Drosophila melanogaster: one gene and its partners. The protein of the gene in region 3 interacts with the protein of the main gene of each other region in a pairwise test. Each region holds a gene or a part of one and is shown on either strand. Other genes may lie near its edges.

The links.
Region 1: the proteins of trus (region 3) and tup interact in a two-hybrid assay, tested with the Drosophila melanogaster proteins (one large-scale study listed by BioGRID).
Region 2: the proteins of trus (region 3) and CG12708 interact in a two-hybrid assay, tested with the Drosophila melanogaster proteins (one large-scale study listed by BioGRID).

The regions. Positions count from the first base shown.
Region 1 is NT_033779.5:18,876,513-18,884,591, forward strand, and holds the start of tup (tailup), read right to left. Parts: upstream 4,750-8,079; 5' UTR 4,284-4,749; coding exon 4,145-4,283; intron 1-4,144.
Region 2 is NC_004354.4:15,672,319-15,680,268, forward strand, and holds CG12708 (uncharacterized protein), read left to right. Parts: upstream 1-3,157; 5' UTR 3,158-3,369; exon of another isoform or gene 3,370-3,485; intron 3,486-4,045; 5' UTR 4,046-4,088; coding exon 4,089-5,306; 3' UTR 5,307-5,419; downstream 5,420-7,950.
Region 3 is NT_033777.3:12,453,823-12,461,232, forward strand, and holds trus (toys are us), read left to right. Parts: upstream 1-2,750; 5' UTR 2,751-2,801; coding exon 2,802-2,909; intron 2,910-2,976; coding exon 2,977-4,070; intron 4,071-4,129; coding exon 4,130-4,385; 3' UTR 4,386-4,622; downstream 4,623-7,410. Other genes in the region: CG18549 (uncharacterized protein), read left to right, coding at 822-991, 1,063-1,520, 1,588-2,183; CG5961 (uncharacterized protein), read right to left, coding at 4,677-5,316, 5,378-6,066; Polr3C (RNA polymerase III subunit C), read left to right, coding at 6,707-6,981, 7,051-7,410.

The DNA of each region.
Region 1 (8,079 bases), on a different chromosome or scaffold from region 3:
AATTAAAAAAAAAATTTAATTGCACTTTAATAGTCAGGCGGCTGCTTTAATATGCCCAATTCCAGCAGGCGAGGGCTTTAAGAATATCTTGAATTGCATTAATTAGGTTAGAGAGCTTCGACGGAATCACTGGGCTTTAAAAACATTTTAGCTCGAAAATAACATGGAATATGGAATATTTAGCCTTTTTTCGAGTCAGTACTTTAATCAGGTCGAGGCTGTGCAATCACATCGATACTTAAAGTTAGCAGCATCCACTTGACTTAAAGTGCTCGTAAAACTTAAAGTTTAAGGCTTTGCTTTTTGAGGGCAAACTAAATAAATGGTGTTGAATGTAAAGTAATATTCTACAGTTTTACTTAATATATAATGTGTACTTTGAATTGTAATTGCCATTCCTGCAGTGATGCAATTTTCAAGCACCCACTATTTCTGCCCATCTTCATGATCATCTAAGCCTCTTTCTAAGCTAATCAGTTAATCAGACAACTGTTTTTATGTGGCGAACGGAAATTCCAGGCATAATTCCCTAATTTCTCGACCCAGCGAGCTGTTAATTAATGCAAAGCAGCCAAGACTCTGAGGTGAATTGAGAGAATACCTGGACGCAGGAGGCTGAGAGTTGTTTTGATGGCTGCCAACTGTCTTCTAGACCTGATTTTTTTTTTGGCACATCGGGCACAGATTTCAAATGATGTCAGGGAATATCGAGGGCGAGGGGGAACTGGACTGGTGACACTGGGCGCAGGCGCACTGCTGTCTTGGGTCCGAATCTCAGGTATGGGCCAAGCCAAAACTCCGGCCAACATAACATATTGATCTAGTGCCGGGTACCGAAGTGCAAAATCAGATAAGCTTTGGGATTTACGTTTCTGTCTGCGCTGCCTTTTTGGGCCTTTGGGTTCAGGTCGGGAATTTATGGATTGCGCCTAAATAACTTTATCACACCCCAAGCAGCAGCAGCAGGGATTCCGAAATAAAAATCACACCGGAAACGGGAAGGCAAGCAAAAAATGTCAGCCAGGGACAACAGGAATTTGGATAGGAACTCGTAAAATATAGATAACGTCTGTCTGCCTTTTTCGAACTAATGGGTGTGGCTCCCTCCTGACGTCACCACTGTCGTATTGTTTTTGTGTTGTTATGCACTTAAAGTTAGGCCAAAAAATGATATGAAAGAATAACAAACCTAGCGCTATGACTATTCAAGCAAATATTCAATCAATTTCCAACCTTAACCCAGTGAATCTTCCAATACGAAACTATCAAAAACAACAAAAAACTCCAAACGAAATCGATCGAAGCATGTTTAGAATGGTAATATAGTTAATTTTATGGCACTCTAAATCGAATCGCGTTGCGTATACGAAACATCTTTTCCTTTCACTGACGTTTCAGCAGCTCTATAAATAACCAAGAGATCTGAGATCGGTGATCTATGGCTAAATAACCAGCCTCATCTGAAAACTCGGTTCCATTCTCTTTCGTTCGCAGACGACTTAACCTTATATGGCCGACGATTGACACTTTACAAATTATTCGAAAAATTATTTCAACTTTTTGTGCATTGGCTAAACATTTGCCCAATCCATTTTTCACAATTAACTTTCGAAAGGTTTTGTGTTTATTCATCGAAAATGCCAATTAGCATTCGGTGAATTTGCTGGCGAGAAATTTAAATGGAATTAATATGAATTAGATTAGGGAACATGTGTACGACGAGTAAGGGGAAAATCCGTGCCACCCCCGCTTCGCATTTTATTCAAATTTTTGGCTAATTGGTTAACTATAAAAATAAAAATCGCTTGGCTTTTATGGCCGCAAATAATTGTCAATTTTTGATGGTCTTCAACATAAAGTGGTACAATTTTATGGCAGCCGCCAACATGAAAAACCGAAACTAGTTCAACGCCCTGATGTATGCAGCGATCTCGGACTTACATAATTTTCTATAGAGCACGGAGAGTAAACAAAGGCTCTTCAGATACTTCAGATGGCGATTTCTTTTTGTTTTTACTATATTTAATTAATTTAACGACTACTTGAGAAGTTGCCAACGACATGTTGACTGGAGGCCTGGGTCTGTGACATGGAAAACTCATTAAAATGTTTACAGCGCTCAAAAATCAACAAACAAACAAAACTCGCCTCGGAACCAAGCGAACTAACAAAAGAGAGTGGAGCTGGCTGATACTAGAGGGGGGGGGGACGAAACGAAAACTACAAAAATTGTTTTCATTTCAAATATCAACTTGAAGCTGGAAAACTCTAACTTAAAGTTTTGTCAGCCGCCAACTAACTCACAGAGCAACTAAGCAGAGCGATGGGGAGGAAACTTTGTGAAAAGTTTTCAAATTAAAATGTTCGGACATTAAATATTTACCAGCGCTCCATGGCCGACAACTAATTTGAATTTAAATTACAATTACTAAAATTCAATGCAATTTAAATGATTCGCAGCTACAACTGCATGTGCTGCATTATTCCAGCCTCATATATAATTCAATTTCCCCGAACCCATTGTATGTAGTATATGTGCTTATGATTATGATTTTTCATGTTTTCCTTTTTTTTTCGGAATTTTTGTTTGGCTTTTTTGTGTTCTGCGGTCGTTCGTTTGGTTAGACAACTGTCAGCCAAAACATTTGTCACAATTTAGCATACGAAATAAAATTTGAATAAAATATATTCCTCTTTCTGTCACACACGGATGGCATTTTTTAATGACACTCTTGGTTTATGAATTCATAAAATGCATTTTGGTTAACAAACTTTAGGCTAGTTAAAAATTTGTCACATTATCGCATGAGATACATTTGTGATACATTTCCAGCTCTTTTCAGCTTTTTTCATGCAATTGCTTGCCCGCTTTGCTTGCGCGCTTAATTGCTCAGCATTAAAATGTCATTCAACCGTTAATTGGCTTCTATATAATATGTAAAGTGTGCTTAAAATAAAATACGGCTATAATTTAACAGTTATTGCCGTACTGAAACAACAAGTGACAGGTCGAGATAGGGTCTAAGCCCATTACAAAAGCTGCAGCGACAAGTCGGCTAACGACTGTGGCCCGAAAGAAATCCCGAACCTAAAGATAGAACCTCAGAAAGTCGTTCAATATACAAAAAAAAAGATCCTCCAATTTGACAAAAGAATGGCACAATAAAAATTATTTATGGATTCGTATTTTCTTGGTATCACTTTAATTTGTTTGTAATTACTTTAGCGCAGCCTTGCTCACATCACATCCATTGGCAAAATTAAAAACTCAAGGTATGAAAGAGTTCAACGCGTGCCTGAACTTTTTAATGATTTTGGTATAAAAATAACTTCGACCTTCGTTACAAATAAACTTGACTAACAGTTCATGGTTTTAAAGCTCGGAACCTTTGAGTCCGAGCCTTGATCTCTGATATCTGGAATTTAAAATGGTGGGCATTAAAATGTTTCAAAAATAAGCAAGACAAGTTTACAACTGTGATTTGGGTGCGAGCATTTGTTAACACGGCTTTTTACTTATTTTATTGGCTTTTAATGTCCAAAGCGGGCTTTCCTCGTTCATTTTCCATATTTACGAATCGAGAAAGTTACCCATCAGTGGCTCTTGTTTAATGACTATTTAATTTGCCAATTTTTGTTTGGGGACTAGGACAATAGCCATAAATAAGTCATTAACTGCTTTAAATAGCTTTATTAGCGGCAAATGATTCGACACTGATGCGTGATCTATGTAATGATGTTTCAATTGCAGGTATACAATTTCTGAATAGGTTGATTTAAAATGCAATTTAATCTTGGTTTACAGTGGATCAACAAAGCGCTTTTTTAGACTAAACCCCTATTAGCCTCTAAGTTATTTGTCAGGACATTTATTTAAATCCAAATTTTAAATCTAAGGGAACTAAGGAAAAAAACTGTAATGCCTTCTTAAACAGACCGAAAGTACTTAGAACCAACAAATGTATCTAGAAGATACAATAGCCTCATATCCAAACTGTGGAAGGGCATTCCATTGTTCTTTTTTTAAGACTGTCCCTAGGTAAGTGATCGTGCTATCTCCAGTATTAAATATCGTCCTTTTCAAGGATGCAGCCCAAATAGCCCGAAATCGGAAAGCCAGCAGCCCTTGAATATCGGTACTCACTTATCACATCGTGTCCATGGCAATCCAAATCCAGGTGATGGTTCATCACCAGCGATGGCTGTAATCCAGTTTGATTGTGGTTGTGATTGTGCAACGGTAGCTGGTGAGCCAAATGGCCACCAATCTCTGCCATTACCATATATTTGGCTGACAGGACACTCGGCGAAGCACACTCGAGATATTTGTGGGCTGGGAATCTTGAGAGCGGGCGCCTTTTCGTTTTGGGCCGTACTCAAGAAGTTTCCGGCATTGAGCAGGGATATTTGTGTAAGGCACTTGTACTGGTTTACTTATTCCGTGAAGTTTGCTTGAATTACTCAATATGAGACCGGGACACAGAGCACTGGGTTTTCGGCGAATTTAGCGGGATTATCACGGCTGTGTGATCCGTGTGCGCACACGCGTTTTGTTCGCAGGGATTTGGATCTATGGTGAGGGATTTAAGAGTCTCTCGCATCCGAAAAGGCAAATCCGACGGCTATCGAGCTAAGACGGTCGATGTTCGCGATACGACGGCTATATAGTAGCGATGACGACAACCGACCAACGACGATGTCTGGCGCACAAACATGCTCACTGCACGGAGACTGCTGAACGACTAAACCGGTCGGCGCTTCGTTCCGTTTGCCGTACGTTATCCGCACGCCAGGGAGCCAGCGAGCTAGCGAGCCAGCCAGCCACTCACCCCGAAATGTATCTCGCAGATACATTCTGCCTGCGAGAGCAGTGCGACTAGCTCGTCGCTCCGCAAGGGTAGGGAACTGGTGTGGCACTGGTGCAGCTGCAACCGGTTCCGAGCCAGTTCTGCGTGTACTTCTCGGATAGCCGATAGCGGATAGCCGACTCGATGGACTGACGGCCTGCAGGGGGGGGGGAGTTCGAAACAGGAACAGGTGTTTTTGTCGCACTCGCTCTGCGGGCAGCGCTCTCACGCTCCGTCCTTTTCTGGCAGCAAGCCCATCTCTTTCGCTTCCACTTGGTGGGCCTTTTCTAAATGGCGGCGAAGCGGGCCAATCGGTTGGACGGAGTGCGCATGACCGACTCCAGCTGTGGCTGCGGGATCCACAATCCACAAATGGAGGCAGTCAGGAGGTGGGCCCACATCCTCGCTCCCTTCGCTGGCCTTTTGTTTTGCCAATTTCGCTTTTGGTTTTCGAAGTTTGTACTACAAAATGGTTGCACTTGTAAGCAAGCGCACCCCCCTGGCCAACCCTACCCCACTCTTCATCCGTCGTCTGTCTTTCTACCCCCGAACTGTTGTAATGCGCTTGTCGAACTTTTCGGCTGTAGCCCCTCCGCTTTTGGGGCTCCCCTTTTCGCCCCTTTCCGCCCCCCTTGTCTCACCTGCCCGTCTTGACTTGGCTCTGCGGTCTGAAGGCGTCTCGTTTCGGGTGTGCTGCAACATCATAATAATTATTGATCTTTTGATTTCGTCTTCTGGTCTTTTGGGGAGCGCTCCAATCTCCACCCCCTCCCCCCCTGTTGCTCTGTTGCTCCTTCAAGGCCCTGTTGCAATTTTAATGACGCCCCCGTACGGCAATTTATATATGTGTTCGAGTGGGTGGCGGTCGGTGTCTGTGTTGCGGTTAGCAGTTCGTTGACTTGGCACCCAGTTGCCAACATTTGCTGGCCGATGATTTGTTGTAATGTCAGTTACCAGTTACCATCACCGACTCTTGGGGTGCACTCGAAGAAAAGCTTGTTTAAGCAATTTTGAAGAATGCTTATCTGTAGGCCAGGAAGAAGTTTAAGATGAGTTGTGGTGGTAAATTATTTTACTTAAATGTGCACATTTCTAAATTATATAGAATATGTGATAGAGATACAATCTAGTTTTATAATATTTTAAGTTTAACATCATAAACATATTGTGTTACTGTACAATTTAGTTAGATTTCCTTATTATTTTTTCGAGTGTCTGTAGCCTCTGACTACTTTTTTGCCATTTTTATTTGACGTAGGGTATTTTGAAGGAGTGGCCCTGCTGCGAACAGGGCTGCTTGTGGGTCTGGTAGAGTTTGAGCTGGTTTGGGGGGTGGTGGCGCTGCTGCTGTGTTGTATAATCAAGGTCATCGAGCTACAGTTTCAGTGGCCCGCTTGCTCCGTTTGGGGCACTCATTCATAGCCGTGTCTCAGTTAGCCAGACGCCGACATTAGTACATACTTGTTACAGCGAGCCACCCCCTTGCTACCATCCAACACCATCCTCTGCCACCCCCAACAGTACCCCAACCACCCCCGAATTGCGAGGCTTTCGCGCCATCTCCTTCGCACTCGAACGACAGCTGGCCAGCAGAAAACAGCTGACTGATGTCTGTGTGTTCGCCTGCGAGGGTGTGTGTGCCGGCGTATCTGTGTGCGGGGCAACTAGGCAGCTGGATGAGTGTGCGTTTGCTGGCAACATGAATTCAAAATTTAATTAGGTCCCGTCCATTAATTGGGTTAATTGAAATGCCGGTAAAAGTCAACGCTTACGAATTAGGACATGTCACTCAAGCCACTGCGCATCGATATGGTCGGAACAACGTTTAACTTGTTGGTTGAAATAGTTTTGTTTCGATTCGTTTAATTGAAATTGAGCAGACATGCTATATTAGCCATTGTTTAATGCATTTTTCTGCTTAAGCCCACGGCTGATCTTAGCCATTGGACAACTTACTGTCCTGGACCTAATTGCTAAGCTACCGAGCTTAACTTGGCTTTAATTGTTGGCGGCAGCTAATAAGGAAGATTGCATAGAGTTGTTTCTGTTTGATGCTTCACTAATGCTTCAGGAGGTAATTATATGTAATTATACTCTTATATGCAAAATATTAAATTATTCTAGTAGGATAGTATAAGCATTTATATTATCGAACTTATGGTATAACTTGACTATTTATTTCAAATAGTCATTTGTAATTAACATAAGTAAAGATATAGATTTCAAGGTTTTCCAGTACATTTCCCAAAGAGTTATGGTTATTGATTTCAATCTTCTAGAAAATAAATATATTGATTGAAATGAAGGTGAGTGGCATTCTTGTAATAAATATATACAAAATCGCAACCTTGGGCGCAAATAATATTTATTGCAGTTCTACGTTTATGCAAATGATTACGTTGTGTTCCTAGAATTTTGCCCTTTCATGGATCCTAATTAAATAAGTTTAAACCGTTCTTAAGTTTCACTTTCGCTTATTCCGATATTTTTCGCCATCATCTGCCCGGTCAACTTATTCCATTTCGTTTATTTCCAGACCGCAAAGCAAATGCAAATATATGCCCAAATGCGATCCAAACGACGGTTTAGGCAATTTTCAATCCTCGAAAAACATTTGGCAAAAAGAAGTGGGCAAAAATTTATGCAAACAGGGGCAGGAAAACTAGGAAAAACACCTACACAAACAGAGGTGTGGAGGTCCTTCGTCCTTTCGCTCCGACTTGTGGCTCATTTAATTTTCGCACTTTTGGCGGATCCGGGGCAGATGTAAAATGGAATTCCGAATAAACGTTGCCATGTGTAGTTGCGGTCGGATTACACGGTTGTCGAGGGGGGGCGGTGGGGGCTGATAGGGGGTGGCATCTCAGCCGGGCTAAAATCTAATTTCCAATGTCTGCCAACTGCATGGAACCCCACATTCCTTCTAATTTCAAAGGGCTCTACTGGAGTTTCAGTTTTGCATGACGTAGCAGATTATTTATTGTGTGAGGTTGTTGCTTAAGTATTTATGCAGCCTGCCCTGTGTGCTTGAGTGCACTGTGAGAAATGTATGCCTATTAATTGCTAATTTATTGTTCAATAATAATTAATAATGAAAATGTTTTAAATTTAATAGAAATCATACTGAATGTGACATTTATAAATGTATTTATACTGATTCTTTATATTATTTTCAAAATTTTAAAATATGTTCAAATATTTTCGTTATTAGTTGAATATTCATTTCCATTAG
Region 2 (7,950 bases), on a different chromosome or scaffold from region 3:
GTGGGAAAGCGGAAGAAAAGGGAAAGCAGTGGAAATCGAAGGAAGAAGGACGAAGGACGAAGGAGCCAGAGGGAAGCTCTGAGCAAATACAAATTCTAAATTATGGCCCATAATTCAGGGCCAGGTTTTAATAATTTTGCGCGCCCCGCCGGCGAAAGTAATGAGAGAAAGCAGAAGCAGAAGGTGAGGGAGCAGAGGAGCTCGCCTAGCCGTGCTAATCCCCGAGCGAACAGCTGTCCGGCCCAAGGATTGTGCATTGTGGGTCCCTATGTGTGATTCCTCGGATTTCCTCAAAACTCGGCCGCTCTGTCCTGGCGCTATCAGTGTGCGGCTTGTGATTCAAGATTACCTTTTCCCTACCCACTTTTCACTTTATCTAGATGTCCTTGCCGCCGCACGTTTCTCCAACGATGGCCAGCGGAATGGGATCCTGCACAGAGAGGAAAAGGATATACATTAGTTTAGATTTATGGGCACATATTTTATTAAGATTATGCGGAAACTTCAGTTAACTGGATTATTCTAGTAACAGGCATTGAAGAATTGTTTGAATATTTACTATATCATTCAAGACTGATTTTTAACCATTTTCAAATCAAATATTATGTATTATACAGAAAGATTCCATTAGCAGCCAAAGTTTGTCTTCTTTTTAAAATACCTATAGTACTAAAACTTTTATTTATGAAATTGTTGTTCAAATTCGAAAAAACCCAGAGCTAGATTTTTTCGACGTGTGTAAGAAAATGCCATTGATTGGGAAAAGCGATTGGAAAACGGTAGCAAATCGGAGCGTGAAGTCTTAGACTTATGAAAAATTGCACAATTGTTGGGCAATTTATTAGCGGCTGGGCTGGAGGAGGAACTGGATGATGGGAATGAAGAAGCGGAAAGGGGCTCCTCCTGCCCTAATTTATCTTCCTTGTCACCCTCTCCTTATTTTTCTTCGTAGCCTGCTCTGGCTGTCGCTCATCGATCCCTTCGGCATTATCCTTGGGCCTTTTTGGCCAGTGACCAATGCGTTAAATTGCCATTGATTCGGGAAGGACTGGCACGGATTATTATTGGAAAGATCACAGATCTTCGGGCACGCAGCTGCTGCTGGCCATCTTCCTTGATCTCCGCCCAATATTATTGATTTATTTCAATTTGCTTCGTTTTTTTCCCGAGATTTATCGTTGGTCACTCAGCTGCTGATCCATGTCCAGAATATTCACGTTTTATCCATATGAATGGTATGGAAAATTAGGGCCAGTTCAATTTGGTCTGGGAAGGTAGTGCCCCCCTTCCGAATGTCAATTTAGCGAAACGAAGGTTTGAGATTTATTTGAATAAACGTTTGTGGGAAAAAGTCGTAAAGAACTCAAATTGGTTCAATATGTCTAATATATATATATGCAGCAATGATTTTTCCTTAAAATAGGTGGATATTAAATACTGTATTAAAAAAGAAAACGTTCTGTCATCTTATGATGGTATTTAACCTATGAAGATGTCTTGTATTTTTGGAAATTCCCTTTGGGACTGATATATTTACGATCTCATTGTTTGAACTCGATGAACTCACAACACTTGAGCATATTTAATTGTGCCACCACCAGTTGCAATAAATTGTATCCTATAGCACTTGGTGGTCCGGAACTGCAGTGTCATATGAAATGCTAAAGCAGGTCCTGGCACTTCCTCAGCGAACAAAAAGTTGTGTTTAGTTTTTGCACAAAAACTGTCAAATAAATTTAGCAAGCAATAATATGGCGAAAGCAAATAGTAAAGATTCCAAAACTGAAGAATTGGGCAGATGTACGGTTGAGATTTAATTCTATTTTTCTCAAACGGACAATCGGCGGCTGCGAAAATATCATAAATTTGAGATCAGCAGAGAAAGCAGGAGGGAAAGTGAGGGAAGGTAGGAGCAGGACGGACCGGGAGCCCTTTAACCAATAAATTGCAAAACAATTGCACAATTTTCCACAACAATTTCCACAGGACAGCGATGTCCCATAAACAATGGGCCAAATTTGTACAATGCCCAAAGTTCCTGTTTGTGTTGTCCTTTTCTTGGCGAAAATCGTGAGAGAAGGAAGGAAAAATCGGAAAGAATTGCCTTGCTAGGGTCTAACGACTATAAGATACCTATTATTTAAACCTTTTATATATTTATGTTAGAAAAAGTTGGCAAATGATGCAAAACAGTTTCATCAATTAAACTAAATAATTGTAATCATTATTCCGATGAACTTGTTTAAACAACAACAGAAAGTCTTTTCAATATCAAATGAAAAACTAAAAATCCTTTAAGACCCAATGTTTTGTTCTAACTTCCTGTAACCCACACAATCACAGGTCTAGCATACTCTCAGGATCCCAAAAAAAACACAGGGTATCTTGAGGAGTCCAAGGTGAAAGGAGCCACACGCTGCGAGAAAGGTAATTGAAAATTATGTTTTGTGGCGCAAGCGGCGATGAGAACAGCTGTCCAACTATGCTCCGTCCCACTCACACGCTTCACAAGCGCCGTCCCTTTCTTGTTGCACGTAGGAATCCTTGGCCAACTGATCATGATCCTTCTCGGTGGCCAAATAAAAAATCTCACGATCGTGGAAAATTCGCACAGCTGTTGCCAGATCGTAAATCGATCGGTAAACGGTTATAAAAACTGAACATCAAGATAACGTTAATGTAGATCAAAGCGCAGCCTTCTGCTTTTCAATTTGTATCGCATTATCTAATAAATAGAAATATATTAGATAGTTTTGGGAAGTACGAGTCTACGAGAAGAGGTAATTGTATATATATATATATATATATACCAGATTCGATAAAAGGTATTGAAAGGGTATGCTTTTAGTTATAGTTGTTATCATGGGAAAAGTGAGAAATACGAATATTACAACTTATTTAAATAATTTATATTATTATCAATGTTGCAAAGTATCTTGCATAAGTTATTAAAGTCAAGTGGACTGATATCAGATGCGAAATACCTTTAATTACTATAACAACGAGTGGTCTCCCACCACCCGCTTTCAATGCCGCCGGTTGAACGTGCCTGCCGTTCAACTGCCTGATCTCTCCGCTCTCGCTCTCTTCCCTCTGCGCATGAGCAACATGTCCGTTCGTCGCCTTCTGCTTTCTCCCGGTTAAGGCGGCTAGCCAGTCAGTCAACCAACAACCGGCGAAGGGAACGCACGCAGTCGATCTTTGCCAGAAAAACGCGACGGTTGAAACGCAACACTTGGCAAAAAAAAAGCACTACATATACAAACTACCAAATAATCAATTCTTAAAATAAATCCGCGAACCATTTATTTTATTTTTTTGCTGTTGGAAATAAATATCAGTGCCGAAAAAAATAAACTACTGAAAAAGGTAAATTCAAGTGAACATCTAAAGATGACTGAAACTAAAAATGCAGTCATGTACAATGAGATCTAAAGGCTCATAAAAATAAATGGATATACCTAAAATAAATTACTTAAGTGCCTGTAAGATTCATGAATTCATTCATTAATGGTTATGAATATCTTTTCAAATAATTCCCAACATAACTGGATCAATGCAATTATAAATGCACAAAAATTCAATTTTTCGGATAACTTGTGATTTTTGGTTTTTTGGTATCCACTCAAGAGCCAAATTTGAATGCAACCTAAAAGTTCATTAAGATTTCATAAGAATAATTGAGCATATCAAGTTCAGAGTCAATTAAATTATTAAGGTCCAGACCAAAGGCTGCCCGTCGTCCATTTAATTGTCCGTGAGAGGAGTGGTTGATTTCGTTTTTGATTTCATTTTTGCCGCTTCGCTGATTTCGCCAAATCGATACACATCCATATACATATGTACATATGCATGTATATATGTATGTTTGTCTACATGCACATTTATCGCGGAAAAAGCGCGCCAAAATTGCCGAAAACTCGCCCGACAACTTTGCCGCTGCCCTCTTTATTTATTTGCTCCTTAAGAAAGTCAAGTTCTGGAATGCCAGAACCAGAAATACCCGCCCCCTTCCTAACCAGATTCCTTTGCTCTTTCCTTGCAGCACCCACTACAAAACCGAAAAACTAAAACTTCAGACAAAGAAGATGCTCAAGTGGGCCGTCAACCAGCCACGACCCTCGTACTTGGCCAGGGATGAGGTGATGGCCACCAGCAGCGAGGCAGTCGGCTCCAGCTACAGCGAGTTCCACGCCCTGCGTGGCAAACTCAAGAGGAAGTCGATCGGAGTGGCGCCAGGCAAGGAGAACCAGCTGACCTCCACGCCACTGCCGGCCAGCTCCTTGAGCCTCCATGCGCGCACACCACTGCTCAAGGACCTCAGCAACATCCTGGCCACGCCGCCATCGGGAGGAGCAAGTGGCGCTAATGGGGCAACTGGAGGTGTAACTGCTGTTCCCCTGAAGTTCGCCTGCACACTGCCCACCTTCGAGGCGGAGTACTCGCCCAATGCCGCCATCATTCCTGGCTCCCTGATCGCCCTGCGCGGCATGGGCATCCCGGACAGCTACTTCGAGAAGCCGCGTTACCTGGAGCAGAAGCCACTACCACATCCGCATCCGCATCCAGCACCTCCGACCGGCGAACAGAATACGCTCAGTTCCAGCCAGATGGGCGATGTGACCCTGGAGCGCATGATCGATGCCATCCTCGAGAGCAACCGCAAGGTGCTGCCCAACGCCAGACAGCAACAGCACCAGCATCAGCACCGCCAGCCCAGGCAGCATCTCCGCCAGCGGCACAGGCTCAGGCAGCAGGTGCTCCGGAGCAGCCACGGACACGGGCACGGCCCCACCCAGACGCCATCGCCCACCTACCGCCCCGCCTTCGATCCGGCCAGCGATCTGTGCGAGTACTGGAAGTCGCCCTCGCGGAGGGATTCCCTGCCAGCGGAGGGCTTCGAGGAGCGGGAGGTGCGCTCCCCCGTGCCCACCGTATCCGAATCGCAGGATGCCAAGCGGCATTCCCTGCAGCTGCGCAGGCAGCGGGTGGTGCGGCGCAAGCGAAAGATCACCACAAAGATCTCCTCCAGCGTCAGGCAGTCGGCGCAGAAGCTGCTTGCAGCGGCCAGGTCCGGATCCATAGCAGCTCCCGCCCAGAAGATGCGCCACATCAGTCCGGACAGTGGGCACAATTCCACCAGCGACTGCGAGCTGGAGGAGGAGCACTGCCAGCTGAGTCGCGGACTGGAGTTGGGTGGCGAGGAGCTGGAGGATGCCTGTCAGCTGGATGCCATGTGGTTGCAAGTGCAGGCCAGAGACGCCACGAAGAGACGCCTCAGCTTCTCCCTGGTGGAAGAAAGCTAATCCTCAAGGATATTCCTATACCATAGGCATAAGACATTTTTTTCATAGCCCTAAGAACGTTTTTTTTTTTTTTAATTTTTTGGCCAGAATAAATCATTTGGAATGCAGAATGTACGAAAAGAACCAAATTCACTGAGGGGCACACTGTCATAATTCGGTTGAAACCACAAGGAACCACCAGCAGTTTATGCTAAACACCTCTTGAAGCTCAGCGGTGCGTGGAAAGCAATTCCTCCAGAGCAGAGGGTCTGGGTCTTCTCATCCGTCTGCCCAAGTGGTCTTCTTTCTCACAGCGAGCTGGTTAATGAGCGTTTTAATGCTCCGATAGCGAGCTATAGGGGATTCCTCGGCAACATGGAACATAGAACTTGGCGGTAATGAGGGCCCTAAAAGGAAGGGGTTGTGCGACAATTGTCGCAAGAAAAAAAATATTATTTACGCTTCAAATGCCCACGAATTCGATGGGCAGGCAGCCAGCCAAGTTATGTGCGATCTAACGCGATAAGGTCTAGTACCTGGAAATGGAACAGGTATCACTTGCTCGGAACTCCATTCGAGTGTTATTAGCTCAAAGCGACCTTTGGAAAAGGAAGTTGCCTAACTTTCACCCGGGAAACTGCGATTTACCACTGCTTTCAGCGGAAACTATTCTCTGAAGGTATCATAAAATCATAGTGATGAGTTATGAAGCAAACCCAGTTTCGTAGATAATCCTTACATAATTAAGATACAAAATTTGTAGCCCAAAAACGAAATATAACTCGTTAGCGAACGGTTTGTATAACTAGGCTTCCAGCTGAGATGGAACCTAGGCCATTCCCACAGCTCCCGCTCCCCAAGGATCGCATCCCGCCGTGCGAGCCTCATTAGCCCATTAGCCAACTGGTCAGATGGATGCCAAGGAGCCCGGCCAGGCACCAACCATCCAAGGCCATGCGATCGATGGGTCAGCAATCCACTTCTGCGACGCGGCGTTAAATGAGCTGTCATAACATTTTGTCCAACCCTTGAGACGAAAGGAGTGGGTTAAGCCAAAAGCGTTAACACGTCTGCCAAGGAACCACCAATCCACATTCACATCCACTTCCCATGGCAAATGCTCAGTAGAGCGTGAAACTTTCTTATGCAGATGATGGGTTGACCATCAGTGCAGAGTACATTGTGCCATGTGACAGGGAAAACAAAGTAAAATACTTTATTATGTGATACCCGGCGAACTCCAGAACTCAAGTTTCGATCGCCGAACTAAGGTCGAGCGGTCAAGCAGCCCGCTCCAGGGAATATTCGTGATATACATGCAAATGTACATATGGATAACCCGCCGAAATCAGGGCAGGTCCCTTGTCAAACCCTCGTCCGCGCTCTGAACTTTTCCCAAAATTTCCCAAAAGGAATCGTTAGAAGAAGAAGAAGGTTCACGCCGTTGTAGTTACTTTATTTTTTATGACTCTCGCTTTTCTTTAGTTTTCCACAATGCGCTGCTCTGGTCTCCTGCCCATTATTATTATTATTATTATTATTATTATTATTATGGTTGTTGTTGTTGTTATCTGGTTCTTGTCCGTCCGGCTAATGACCGCTTCCGAATTGTTCCATGTTTTCATTCGTCAGCGCCCAGTTTTCCCGCTCCGGACGGCAACGTCTCATTAAACATGCATTTCTTTAATTTCGTTTTGATTGAAAGTGAAACGGATACTTACCCCTAGTAAGTACCTAGCTGGGATTCTTGCCACCACATATCATATCATTTTATACATATCTTCCGGTTTCGGATGGTTGACGAGTAATGAGTGGAGCGTTAGTCGAAGCAGAGATCCATAACGATAGGGAAAATCTGAAAATGTACAAATAATTAAGTGCGTTTCCTTAAGGTTTTATAGCTAACAAAATGTGTGCGTTTAAATGCGATTATAACCTACTTTAAGAATATAGTTTTATTATAATTGTAGTTTCTTAAAGTTTGCTAACAAATTTTTAATTTCAACTATATTTTTCTTTGACTGAATCTTTATGATACCAAGACACCTAATTGATATATGAAACGTGTCAAATTGAATTGAAATGTGGTTCCCAATTCCATGTTGTGGACACACTTTGGTCGAGAACAATGAAATCCATCGATCTGCACTCAATTCGAAACCCATTTTGTGAAAATTGAGAAAATTGTGAAAAATCACCCATTAAAAGCGGGCACACTCCAAAACTCTAATTGCGATTTAAACGTTTCTCGAGTGGCGAAAATGGAAACACCCGCTTAATTTTCGACATAGTGACAAAAGTCGTATCGCTGTTTTCTGATCGGGGGTTTTATATTGTACAAAACCTACATATGTATGGTATGTATGTACATACATAGTGAGGGATCGGACATGGACAGACTACCGAACCGATTGACAATGCCCAACGCACCTTTCGACCCGCACTTTGTTGCCATTCTGCCGAATCCCATTGCCCGCTTGAGATCCGCTGGGCAGGCGGGACACGTGCCTGCTCCATTATCGCCTGGCGATCTGATCGATCGGCGGCTGAACAGTTGCAAAAACAGCCAGCCAAGGACCGGGAAACCCCGCAGGACCAAGCGAACCTGAGGGCGGTTTTCCCTTTTTCCTGGTTCCTGCATGTCCTGCATGTCCTGCCAGTCAGG
Region 3 (7,410 bases):
GGGCACTTCTAAAACATTATCAGCGGGTGCAACCTCTCGAGTTGAACTTCAAAATGGGCACGAGGACCGGACCAGATTTGCAGCGCCACTTAATTGATGCAAATAGAAATCAGAATCAGAGTTTTTCGCTCAGATAACGATATCACTCGACATTTGCCGAGATGCGTCCTTTGGAATGGAAAATTTTTAGACTCGAACGCAAACATGTTTTGCAAATGCAGCTTGGAATTTTCCATTGACATTCACAAGAATTGTAAAGTTAACCCTGAATCTGGTTGCAGATCCAAGTCGATTCATATTAATTTTTGTTCAATAGCTGCAGTTGTTTTTCCAACGCTCCAAAGAGTATGAGATATATGAATCATTATGTTTTCAATATAGGAAACAATTTCAATTTTAAACTTTCTTTGATCACTGAATTTCAGAAAGTCTAATAAGCATAAGATCTTAAAGATAGACTTCATAACTAAATTGGCTTGGGATGTATAATGAACCGAACATATACCTATAAATATAAATATGCTTGATATTTAATCCGAACAGATAACAATTCAGGCCCAACTTAGTTTTAAGTCAGTTCAATCTGCTTTGGTTGGGGTTTTATTTTAAGGAGATTGTGCCTTCATAACGTATCCGGACAGGAAATACCTGTATTATGCGTACTTGAGCCGAGAACACGTTTATCGTATAACATTTAAAGAGAAACATTAAACAAATGCGTCGGCCGTCGGTTCATTGGCATGCAATCGTCAAAAAATGTGTCTGGCACGTTACCAAAATGCTAATCGCTTCAACTTTCAATACGTTCTCTCAATCTGTAGAAAACCATACTGGATAGCATTTCCCAGGAAGATGATACCTTCAAGGGTGAGGGCTACACCAGCCTGGCCATTATCTACCTGTTCTTCTCGCTCTCCAATTGGCTGGCACCCTCGTTCATTTCGTTCACCGGACCACGAGTGGCCATGGTCGTGGGAGCACTGACCTATACGTGAGTATATACCCCCCCACCGGTCCGACTCATACATTTTGGTACCTAAAACATTTGAAACTCTTTTGCAGAGCCTTCATGATCACGTTCATGTTCCCGTCGACGGTATTGCTGTACGTGGGCAGCGCAGTGCTGGGATTGGGTGCCTCGATCACTTGGACGGGACAGGGAACGTATCTGGCGCGCTGCAGTGAATCTTCCACGATTTCCCGTAACTCTGGCGTCTTCTGGGCCCTGCTGCAGTGCAGCATGTTCATTGGGAATCTGTTCGTGTACTATCAGTTCCAGGACAAGACCCGCATCGACAAGGAGACACGGAATCTGGTCATCGGCGTGCTCACGGTAATTGCTGTGCTGGGCATCGTGTTTCTGGCCGCACTGAGATTCATGGCCGATAATGCCGAGCACGACAACGAGCTGGAACAGAAGCACACGGGCTGTGGACAGGCCATATACGCATTGAAGTCCGCAGGACAATTGTTCCTCACCAAAAAGATGCTGCTCCTTAGTCTGGCCTTCTTTTACACAGGTGGGTTGGATTGTGGTCAAAACTGAATAGAATCAGAGATACTAAGTGCTTAAACATAACTTTCTAGGCCTGGAGCTGTCATTCTTTAGCGGAGTTTTTGGATCAGCGATTGGATTCACCACGAAAATAGCCGAAACACCGAAGGAGATCGTTGGACTGGTGGGCATTTGCATTGGAGCCGGCGAGGTCTTTGGAGGAGGACTATTCGGCATACTGGGCAACAAGACGACGAGATATGGACGCGATCCCATCGTGATTGCCGGCTATGTGATGCACATGGCAGCCTTCTTCATGACGTTCATCAACCTGCCGAACAGTGCACCGTTTAAAGATACCACCGATATATCCTATCTGGACCCGCCCCGAGCCAGCATCGCCTTGGTGTGTGCCTTCCTTTTGGGCCTGGGCGATGCCTGTTTCAACACTCAGATCTACTCCATGCTTGGCGGGGAGTATGTGAACAATGCCGTGGGAGCCTTTGCCCTGTTCAAGTTCACCCAGTCGGTGGCGGCGGCCATTAGCTTCTTCTACTCCTCGCACTTCGGGCTGTACGTGCAGCTGGGCATCCTGGTGGTTATGGGAACCATTGGCACCATTGCCTTCGTCTTCGTAGAGTGGGGCTTCAAGCGGCAGCACCGCGAGCAGGAGGCGTTGGAGAAGTAATTCCGTTGTGGGACTCAGAGGATCTAGAGTATTAGATGCAGGTTCTTGTTAGAACTCTAGGGCTAGGGCCATTTGTCCGTGTTTGTTAAATTCCTCGGAATGCTTTAAATCCGTGCGACTGCGTCGTCTTCCTAGACAATAACTGATAAGTGTTGTTGCGCGCTATTGTTGCTAAATATACGTATTTTAATGTTGGCATTCCAAAAAACGTAATTGTAATCTAGTTGTCTATGTTTTTATATGTGTGTATTGTATATGTGCGTTTATTTATTTTAAGCGGCGATTGTGCAAATATAAGATAGTAAACCACAAATTTGGAGTATTATAAGAAATATATAACGAATTTTAAGAAAATAATAGTTGTTATGGATCTTACTTGTGTGCTACTCATTAATAATAGAATTTTGTGCTTTTATTTCATTTTTCAACTATTTGATATATTTTTGAACTGCCTAGATTTCATACTTTGAAATTCGCACACTCGATTACGATGAGTCGATATCTTTTAAAATCGATAGTACCATGTGCAACTATCGGTTGTCTGCCCATGAGCACTCATTTCGCCCATTCCTAAAAGAAATCATTCAATTTTGAAAGACTTGAATGAAACCATGAAAAATGGCCAAGAATAAGTCGACTGTGTACCTAGGATACGAGGATGAGGAGGTTACGGCCAAGCAGGAGCAGCTCCTGAACAGTTGCACAAACAAAATCGGTGGCACACCCGTAAGATAGGCGATTGCATCGACTTCAATAGAGGCAGCGGATAATTGAAATTGATTTTTACCCACAGGATTGGCCCAGACACGAGGTGACCATTCCGTCATGCCCGCTGTGCGGTGCAGTGCGTCCACTGATCGTGCAGATGTACGCCCCGCTGGATCGCTCCCAATTCCATCGCAGCCTTTACGTTTTTGGATGCATGAACCCAGTTTGCTCTCAGAATTCAAAGAGCTGGTGTTGTGTGCGCACTCAGCACCTGGACCACCAGTACGAGGTGATCAGTGAGCATTCGCCGAAGGCAACGCCAACTAAGAAGCAGAACTCCAAAAAAAAGGGGAAGTCGAGCGGATTGCAGGCTATCAGCTGGTGTAGTGGAGCGGACGACTGGGGCGACAGCAGTGGTGGAGCAACCGAACAGGCCAAGACCATCTCCGTGGCATTGGACGAGGCTATGGACATCACCGCGGACGACGACCAGAACGAACGGAATGGCAATGTGCGACCGAATGCCCTGCAGTACGCCAAGTCAGACATCCAAATAGATGAACCAGCCAAACTTGAGCAGGTAAAGATTGCCGCCGATGATGACGACGACGAGGACGAGAGCACTTCGCTGGAGAACGAATTGATCTCTGGCTTTCATCAAATGGACATGATCTCGCCGCAAAACGCCGACGATGATCCAAATGCTAATTGTGCAGCGGCCGCCGCTCCCAGTTTGGATGGAGCTGGAGCCAGTGCCGCCTCAGCGGCCATTGGTGCTGAGATCGAGGGTCCCGAAACGGATCTGGTGCTGGTCGACACGCCCAAGAAGCCGGAACGCGACCTGATTGCCTTGTTGAAGCACACCTCGGGTGCGCTGTCGCAGATCAAGGACCTAACGCTAAAGTCTTACTATATTGCCGTCGATGTAGAGAACAAGACCCAGGCGGAGGAGTACGAAAACTTCGGAGGCGCTTTGTCCATGGACCACATTCGTGATTTGTATCAGGAGTACAAGCTGAGAGACCAGAATCCGGGTCAGTCACCGACCGGCGGTGCATCTGGACCAGGAGAGCAGGGCGATGAGAACGAGTCCTACGAGAAGGCATTGCCAGCCCATGGCGATTTGGTGTTTCACAACTTTATCACTACCATCCATCAGAATCCGGGCCAGCTGTTGAGGTAAACATTGTACTTCTATCCTCATTAACTTTCCTCTTACCCAAGTTGTTCTGCTTCAGATATTCGCGGGATACGATCCCGCTGTTGGTGGCCCCGTTCACGGAACCTCTGCCCAAGTGCCAGAATTGCAGGGGAGAGACCATCTGCGAGGTGCAGCTGCTGCCCACACTGATTCCCAAGCTGCGGTTCCAGGTGAACGGTTGCAATGCACCAATCGAGTTTGGCAACGTGCTGGTCTTCACCTGCCTCAAGAGCTGCTGGGACACACCCGACCTGATGCGCTACGAACATATTGTGGTTCAGTCTGAAACTTAAGGTGCCGTACACGGCCATTTCCCAAAGCCATTAGAGTCATTCGCTGTAGCCGCTACGATTGCAGACTGGTGCAACGAATTTTAAACGCAAACTGCAGAGATAAAGCTAAGCTTCTCGATTGTCCTAGGAAGATTTTATGCTCTAGTTGTTAAGAACGTTGTAAGCTTTTAGACACTCCAAAAATGGATAGTTGCTAATAATATCTCGTTATTTCCACTCCCCCTCTAAAAGGGTTTCAAAACATATTGTTTTATTTCCAACTTGCAGAAATCCATTCTAATTCTAATTAACCTAAGCCAATGGTGCATCAGCATCAAGATGGTAGCTCTTTACGGTTGAGAACCTCAGCGCCGGATATTTGGCCTCGGTCAAATCGAACTCGGAGCTGATGTCCACCTTGTTGCGCTTCTGCACGAGCGTGTAATGTGACCAAACCAACTGGGCGCATCGGCGCTTGGTGGTGCCTGCGATGCGCAGCTCGATCAGGAACTGTGAGGAGTCCTCATCCACTGGCATGATACTCCCTCGCCTCTGCCGCACGTTAGCCGGCCCTCGCTGCTGCGACTTTTGCAGCACCAGAGTGACTGTGCTCCCGAAGAGACGATAGCGACCCCGAAGCATTTCCGCCCGTACGTTGTTCACGTGCTTCAGTTTGGATACACCTTGCGCCGGCTCATCGGCAGTCGTCATCATCAGCACCTTGCCATCGGGCAGAAAGCGAATGTAGCGATAGTACTCCACCAGTTGCACAGGACGGTAGAACTGATCCTGGAAGCTGTTCTCGCCCATTCTCAGGTACGTAGTCTTGCTGATGTAGCAGCCGTTGAAAAGAACTCGGTCTCGGCGGATGAACATGTCTCGCCAGGAGTGGAACACGTTGCTTACATCCGAATCCTGGGCCTCTAGAGTTCCAACGTTGTGGCCCCATACTCTATACAGAAAATTACGATAGGTTCATTGAATCTTAGGCGTTATTTGAAAGAGTAACTTACTTGACACAAGCTAGCCTCCAGAGCTCCTCATCCCGCGCGTAGACATAGAAACCTTTGCAAACAGCAGCGCACTGCTCTAGCGAGCGCATGTCCAGTTGGGCGGAAACCACCCAGCGCAGGATGCGCATCACAATCTCGGGCGGCAGGTCGGCAAAGTGCAGACCGGTGGTCAGGACATTGGCATCACGGCTGGATGCTATCATCTTGCCATTGTAAATGTTTTTCTGACGCAAATCATGCTGGAACTTTTCGTACAGGTTGTCCACGACCTCCTCCCCATCCGACTGACCTAGATCCAATTGCTTGGCCAAATCGTTAGCCAGATTGAGGTACTTCTTGCTGACATCGTTGCTGAGCTTTTGCTTCTGCTGCTCGTAGAACCTGAACTCAATATCCGGAACGATTTGGGTGGCCTTCCTGTAGAAGGGTAGTGCGTCGTAGACCTTGCCACGCTGCTCCAGCTGCACAGCGGTCCGATAGAGACTCTCCGCCTTGGCCTGCAGTAGATCAGCCTCGCTGAGATTGGAATTGGCCGCCGTGAGGCGATCTCCAGCCTCGGAATGGCTCCTGGATCCAGTGTTTGTTGTGTGTTCCTGCAGCTCCCGCTGCCAGTTCTCCCGGAACTCATCCAGTGCATTGGTGCCCGTTTTCCGGGTTGGCTCCTCGCCATCCGAGTCCACATCCGACATGATTAGAGCTAGAAACTAGTCTGCGAATGCCAATCAGATCGTAGATTATAAACATCTGCGCATTTATCTAACGCAATTTCTAACCTGAAAGATTTTAGTATTCGATGTGGAAAGGTACGGAAGTTGGTAACAAAATAGAACTTATAATAAAGGGCCGCGCGTATTGCTGATTTTGGGCGCGGGCTTCACCCCAGAATTTCGTAGTTGTATGCAACTGGGAGCAACATGTGGCCATTGGTAAGACCCCAAGATTAAGAGTATTCAAATACGCAAACGAGAACACTTCTACACTAATGTTATTGTTTACAGTGTGCACGCATTTGCTTAAGAAGTAATTCTTATAAACGCTCTTCTTTAAACATTGACTTACTGATTTCGTCAATTTCAAAAAGGTTATATTTAAGCGAAATTCTCCCAAAATGTGCTTCTAATTAGTATTCTATAAAGATATTTACAATTACTAAAGATCAATTTGAAAATCGATATCATATCATATGCATATTCGATAAATATTTAAAAACAGCTGACTTCAACGCGGTTCTGTTTTGTTTTGGTTGCTCATTTGCTGATTCGCACTATCAGCAGGTAAAAAGTGATATTAAAAATTAAAGTGGTTTATTAAAATGGAATTTTAGGAACCATGTCAGCCGACTACTCCCATCTGAGCTCCGCCATCCTGGAGCAGTGCTTTGGCAAGGTGGTGCAGGCGGTGGCCGACTGCCTCTTTTCGGCCACCACGAGGACCCTGGGACAGATCACCAGTGCCACCAAGTTGTCGAGGAAGGAAGTGGCATTTGCGCTGGCGGTGCTGGTCAAGTTCAGGCTGGTGGACTTTGCCGCCTCCAAGGCAAACCCCTTCCTGGCGGAGTACGCCCTCCGGCGCGAGGATGTTCTCTGCCTCCTAAGGTATCCTCGGTATGTAAAATCGTACATAAAAGATATACGAAGTTTCATGTTTTAAAATCTATTCGGTAACTTTCTCAGTTACGTTCACCTGGTGCAAACCAAGTACGGAAATGTGGGTGCTTCCATTTCGGAGGAGTTGATTAATTCTGGATCCGATACGGCAACTGGAATTCTGCTAAAATGCCTAGCCGAGAATGAAAACAAGGCAGAAAGTCCGGAGTCCTACCGCAACACCTTTCTCGAAATGATCACCGATCACTATATCATCAAGAGACCAGAACTGCTGGTGGGCGACGACCAGGATGAGAATGTGCCAAAGTTTGAGACCAACGAGTGCGATTTCTTTAGGCATCCCAATATTGATCTTCAGTTGCTGGCCAAGATACAAAAAGGAGAAGCCACTCTAGCGGAGGCCAGGGATTCTCACATGGTGTGGCA